Nothobranchius furzeri: one gene and its partner. Each later gene encodes a partner of the first gene's protein in a complex. Links are inferred from orthologs where the notes say so. Each region holds a gene or a part of one and is shown on either strand. Other genes may lie near its edges.

The links.
Region 2: dpm2 (region 1) and dpm3 share a complex: the UniProt entries of both Homo sapiens proteins name them as parts of the dolichol-phosphate mannose (DPM) synthase complex. The link is inferred for Nothobranchius furzeri from reciprocal best matches to the Homo sapiens genes DPM2 and DPM3.

What each region holds. Positions count from the first base shown.
Region 1 is NC_091746.1:70,784,880-70,788,811, forward strand, and holds the start of dpm2 (dolichol phosphate-mannose biosynthesis regulatory protein), read right to left. Parts: upstream 2,601-3,932; 5' UTR 2,501-2,600; coding exon 2,498-2,500; intron 1-2,497. UniProt on the Homo sapiens protein: Regulates the biosynthesis of dolichol phosphate-mannose. Regulatory subunit of the dolichol-phosphate mannose (DPM) synthase complex; essential for the ER localization and stable expression of DPM1.
Region 2 is NC_091759.1:5,963,628-5,966,377, reverse strand, and holds dpm3 (dolichol-phosphate mannosyltransferase subunit 3), read left to right. Parts: upstream 1-1,269; 5' UTR 1,270-1,327; intron 1,328-1,515; 5' UTR 1,516-1,537; coding exon 1,538-1,816; 3' UTR 1,817-2,162; downstream 2,163-2,750. UniProt on the Homo sapiens protein: Stabilizer subunit of the dolichol-phosphate mannose (DPM) synthase complex; tethers catalytic subunit DPM1 to the endoplasmic reticulum.

The DNA of each region.
Region 1 (3,932 bases):
TGATTTAGGAAGACTTCCTTTGTGTAATGATTCCTGATACATTTCCAATAATGGTTTCACTAATTTACTTTTAAATTTTTTATAAAAATCAATTGGAAATCCATCTGGTCCCGCTTTTTTACCTGAACTCATACTGTTAATTGCCCTGCTTATTTCCCCTTCGGTGATTTCTGCATCTAATTGTTGTTTTAAGTCATCTGCAATAGTAGGAATATTTATTTTATCCAGAAACGCATTTCTGGAGGTTTGATCTGATCTATCCTGAGATTCATAAAGTTTTTCATAATAGTTTCTAAACGCCTTATTTATTTCCATCGGGTCTATTATCATTTCCCCTTTGCTGCTTACAATCGATGTTATATTTTTCTGCACTTCCAATTGTTTAATTTGCCATGCCAATATTTTTCCAGGTTTTTCTCCTTGTTCATAAAAAGACTGATTTAATCTCAAAATGTTCGAAGCCGCTCTATCTGCCGATTCTTTATTGTATTGTGCTTTTAGTATTAGCAATTTTTTCTCTGTTACTGGGTCTCTACTTTTGAATACTAGTTCCTCTAGAGTTTTAATTTCCTTTTCCATTTGCTGTCTTGTTTTACATGTTTCTTTAGATTTCGATGAAGTATATGCAATTATAACTCCCCGTAAACATGCCTTAAATGCCTCCCACCTAATACTAGCTGATGTTTGTGAACCATTTATAGTAAAATATTCATCTATTTCTTTTTCTACAAAAGTGAGGAATTCTTCATCATTCAGCCATTTCTGGTGTAAACACCATCTACGCTCCATTATTAAGTTTTTATGTGTATATATGATATTGCAGGGAGCATGGTCCGATAGTAATATACTGTCATATGAGCATGTCCTTATGTTTGATAGTAGGCTTGCTGATACTAAAAAATAATCTATTCTGGAATATGTATTAAATGTTTTTGAATGGCAGGAAAAAATTATATCGTCAGGTTTTAACTGTCTCCAGATGTCAATCAACTGAAGTTCCTTCATGAAGTTAAGAATTGTTTTTCGGCTTTTGTTATGGGCCTGGTCAGTCCCAGTTGGTCTATCCTTACAGGGATCCAGTACACAATTCCAATCCCCTCCTATGATGCATTTTCCTTGGAGTAATGAAATTGTGAGAAAAAGATTAGTAAAAAATGCATCATCATCTGTATTTGGTCCATATACATTAATTAAGTTAATGGTTTCTTGTATAAGTAATCCCTGGATGATCAAATACCTACCAAATTTATCTTTGATTACATTCTTAACCTGAAAAGGTACTGATTTATGTATTAATGTGATTACTCCCCGAGCATTGGATCTAAATGGTGCTGCATACAACGAACCTTGCCACCTCCTGCCAACCTTAATATGTTCCTCCTCCAGCAAGTGCGTCTCCTGAAGAAAAATTATTTTAGCTTCCAGATCTTTCATTTTGGTCATTACTTGCTTAATCTTTTTAGTACTTTTTAAGCCTCTACAATTCCAAGAGGTACATTTAACTTCCAGTTCCCGAGTCATCACACCTCACATGCACTTCTAAATGCTTAAACTTGTCTGAGAGTACGAACAAAACGGAACACAAAACACGAACTTTAAGTGAACAAACCATTCTTAAGAAAAAACACAAAAAACCCCACCCACCCATTTTCTGAGTAACCCACTCAAATGTTCCACTTCCAACTTTAACCATGTACAGATCCCCGTTTTAAGATCTGCTAACTTAAATGACTGGCATTATGCCTAGCTCTTCCCTGCTCCCTGTGTCCTTAATGAATCCTTAAGCTTTGCTAATATTCCACTGCCCCTTAATAATTAACTACTTTTTTACTGTCTTTAAACAAAATTGAATAAATTCAATAATTAAAAAAATAATAATCGTAATTAATAACTAAATAAATAAAAATGAAATGTAAAAAAGTAGTATAATATAAAAGATTGAAAATTATCATTCTTCCTATCTAGTTAACTGTGCAGATAAAAAAAAAAAGAAAAAACAGAAAATCGCTTTATTCTTAATTACCTTCTACTTTGATGAAGTTATCTATATCTTTTTCCAAATGAATCATTACCCCAAAATGTTAGACCTTATATTATCGTCCTCATCTCTTGGATTAATAAATGATTTAATCCAGAATGTTCTCTCTCCATTAGGGTGTCTCACTGATTGAGTGAAAAACAACAGGGTGGACAGCGCAGCACTGGCGACGGATCGAACATCAGCATGTCTTTAAAAAAGCACGACAATAAACTTTAAAAGGAAAAAATAAACCCGACAAAAACGTAACGAAAGAAAAAGGCAGTCCATCTCTTCGTAAACAGACTTAAAACGTGATTTTTGTCATTAAAATGAGTTCAAAATAAACGAAACTTAAAACCTAAAATTAGCTTAAACAAGCTAACATTTAAACACACAAACCACAAAGTAAAGCCCTCTTTAAAACAACACCTGTCCGTTTAAAACTGCGTTCATTTGTAAATAATTGACATTTCTTACCATTGTCGCAGCCCCGTACTGAAAGATTGTTTACTTCCGGGTTCTTCTTCGTTTTCTAAATCCCTCAGAAAGACTCGATCTCTACCGCCACCTGGTGGTCGACCACTGCAACAGCTTCCATTTGGTTTAAAAGGAGTTTCAGAACTAAAGACTTTTATAGATCTTTATGAGTACACACTAGTACTATAATAATACACTACTCCAGTCTGAGTGTACCACGCCACGCCCGTCACGTGGCGAGGCAGGTCTTGTGGTGGTCTTTAAGGACAAACATGTCTAATCTGGTGAAAAATGGCCCCTTTAATACTTTTGAATGTCAGGTCACCAAATGTATTCAGTGTGTTTTAATCTACCGACCTCCCGGTCCAGCTGGCCATTCTCTGAATCAGCAGAACTTTTATCATCAAACTAGAAAAAGTTTTGATTCTTGGTGAACGTTTTTAAGGCCCATATGAGCTCTGGGACAGCTGAAAACGTCAGTGTGAGTCTCTTTATTCTCTCCTCTTGTCTGAGCTGATGGCGCTGTATGCGTGGCGCGCTTCCAAACAATTCAATTCAATTTATTTATAAAACGCCAAATCACGATCAGAGTCGTCTCATGGGCCTGCACACAGTAAACATTCCAGTACAGGTCAGTACATTAAGCCAATCAGTAACAAGTTTCCTATATAAGGAACCCAGCAGGTTGCATCGAGTCACTGACTAGTGTCAGAGTCTTTACAGCAATCCTCATACTAAGCAAGCATGCAGCGAAAGTGGAGAGGAAAACTCCCTTTTAACAGGAAGAAACCTCCAGAGGATCCTGGCTCAGTATAAGCAGCCATCCACCACGACTCACTGGGGATGGAAAAGACAGAACGAACGAACACACACACACACACACACACACACACACACACACACACACACACACACACACAGGATGGCTGGCAAATGATTCTTTTATAAATCTCGGAGATTTCTCCTAATAAATGACCGGAAAGACTACCGGTAGTCATCGTAACGTGGAAAAAAGTCCCGGTAAAGCACTGCTGTCACAAAAGATCCTCCTATAGAAGGAAACTAAAAACACGCCCCCCCCCCCCCCCGAATTTCTAATCATCTTTTTTTTGTTTTACTTTTCTGATGTGAATCCATTTCTGTTAGCGAACACTGTTTTGCTTTGATCTATGTGAAGCACTTTGTGACTCTGATAAGTGCTATATAAATAAAATGTGCTTTAGTTACTAAAACTACAATCTTGAAAGTTTCGTTAGAATTAACAGGACTCTTCTTGTTTCCCTTGAAGACGTGTGGCTTCTCATCCAGGAAGCTTCTAGTAGTTTCCAACCAGGCCGTCAGGTTTCCTGCCCTGGACCTACACCGACCTACACACACGCACCAGAACAACGTGCTGGACTTCACTTTTAACTGCTGTGGATGAAAGACTTCTGAA
Region 2 (2,750 bases), on another chromosome or scaffold:
TAAACACCACCATCCTAAGAATAACTCCCATTTTCCCTCAGAAGAATGATGTTTATTCCTGAGTGGCTACTTAGCGTGCCCCTTTCACCAGCTTGGTCAGTGTTGTTTACATCTCCTCCTGCTCCTGATTCCACCCTGGAGAAATCTGTGCCCTCTGCACCTGGTCAGTTCACCGCCGTAAATGAAAAGGCATGTGATGTAGAACTAACACAGAGACTGAGATCAAAGATCAAAGAGCCCCCCGTTTGTGCCTAAATTAAACTGTTTTTCAATTCCTCTCTTTGGAAAATACATAAATAGCTTTTAGCGATTGCTAATGGTATCTGATTTTGAAAATGGCTTTCCTAAATCATGAAAGGGATACTGAAAAAGCGTCAGAGGTCTAATATGTGTTAAAAGCTTGTCTGGGAAAGCTCATTAAAGACTCAGTCCAATTACAAACAGTGCTCTTTCTCACAGCTGACTGAATACTGGTCTTAATTCATCACGCTAGTGAAAACTGCACACAGCAGCAAGATCAATAGGGAAGTTTAAATAATTATCAGTCTGGCTGCTGTCATATCACTCCTCTCTGGGGGTCATTAGCTAGTCAAAGAGAGTTTATTTATGTGTTCATCATAAACTGAGTAACTGAATAAATAAGTGCAATTAACATAAATCACTTAATTTCTATGGTGCAACTGAAAGTCGTTTAAAGCTACCATACAGAAACATGAAAAGCTGTATTTTCTAATCAAATTAATGAAGCAGGGAATGTGTGGGGCCTACATTAATCTTGAGAAGAAGTTATAACACTGTCAGGTCCATCTAGCTCAATCCATTATCCATCTGTAGTCCCTTTAACTGCAAAAACAAATATGGAACGAAACCATGTATAACACTTTTAAAATAGTTTCATAAAATGCAAATTCTAATTTTGCAAATGTGAAAGAGTTCAATTATCTTATTTTAATTGAAAAATAAAAAATAATTTGTGTCTTTTGAAAGTTCAAAAATAAAAACAAGATCATTTATATACATTTAGGGAAAATAACACTGTTTAATAAAACGATTAATATAAATAAATGCATTGGAAATTAATGATTAGGCTAAATAAAATGAACAAGTGAATAAAAGATTTTCTTTAAAACTTATAAAAAATTGCTTATTTTATTTTTAGGTTATACAATAAATATAATTCAAAGTTTGTTTGAGTCAAATAAATCGGCTTTTAGCATCTTTTGAGTTGCTTTAACATTTCACTAGTCCTGCTACTACGTTTCCCACAAGGCATCGCGGACTGCAACGTCATTAATCTGCGCAGTGCTGAGGTGGTGTTTGAAAGAAGGTAAACATTCATGTTTATTTGGTCTTTAACGTGATTTAAATAGATGCTTTATATACTACCCTTTTATTTAGTTGCGTTCGCGTCTTTTCAACGAGTGTTTGGTTTATTTTCGTTTCTTGTCGTTTGTTTATTTCTGCGTATTTTAGCTCGATAAGCTAACAGGTTGCTAACACAGTTTTATCTCTCAGGTCGTTTCATAGAGCTTCCGTCATGACGAAACTGATGCAGTGGTTGCTCGGGGCGTCTCTGCTGGGGACAGTTTGGGCTTTGGTTACGTTTGACCTGTTGGAGCTGAGCCTCCCGCGGGTGTACCGGGAGATCGCCTGGCCGATGCCTCTCTACCTGCTGGTGACGTTCGGCTGCTACTCCCTGGCCACGGTGGGATTCCGGGTGGCCACCTTCAACGACTGCGACGAGGCAGCTCGAGAGCTCCAGGAGCAGATCACGGAAGCTAAAGAAGACCTCAGAAAAAAGGGCTTGAAGTTGTAGGACACAAAGACTCAACCCTGTAGAGACCGAGTAGTGAGGACATGTGTTTCACAGCTGGATGGATGAAACTGAACCATCTTCACTAAAATGTGGATAAGAAACTGTGTCACTTATGTTGACGCATCATTTCCAGTTTAATCCTGACAAATCTAATCCAGAGGCTCTTTGGGATTTCCCACGTGCTTTGAGTCAAGCTGATATGTGTTTGCATCGTGTGCATCTGGAGATGTAATGCCCGTACCTGCAGATGGATCCAGATTTAATCTGTAAAGACGTTTACATTCCTTTGTTCAATGCCTTTGAGGTGTTTCAGAAAAATTAATTAAATGGGAATTTATTTTCTAAATGGATTCCTGTTCTTGAGGTTCAGGTATGTCTGTGAAGCACCTTTGTGGCTTTACAAAGGGTTTCCTCTTCAAACGGGTCAGAACAAAGCCCTTTTGGGCTTGGCATTCTGCTTAACCTGTTGGGAGAAGACGGGCCTCTTTTTATCCAATTGTAAGTTTATGACACAAACTATGCATCATGTAATATTTCTCCAAATGCATTTGATTCTAAAAAATCAAATCTGCGTATGTAACTCTGAAGTAATCGATGTTGGCAGTTATATTTCTTTTACGAGCTGTAAAAGGCTGCCTTTGCGTATTTTTCACCAAGTCCCTGCTGTGTGTAAACAAAGCATAGCTTCACCAAAGGCATCATTACGGGGCATCAAACGATCTCATAACTTCTGAACAAATGCAAAAAGAGTTGGCAACTCTGCCTGTTAGGCTGCAGCTCCATCTTGCCTCGCAATGTCCCCCACCCCCACCCCACACACACCCACCCACTGAATCTGTGCAAGCTGTTGCTTGAGCAGACAGGATGAAACACAACTTACTTGAAAATCTTCTAATTTGGCAATTACACCAACAGCAGATCTGTTCCCACTTGC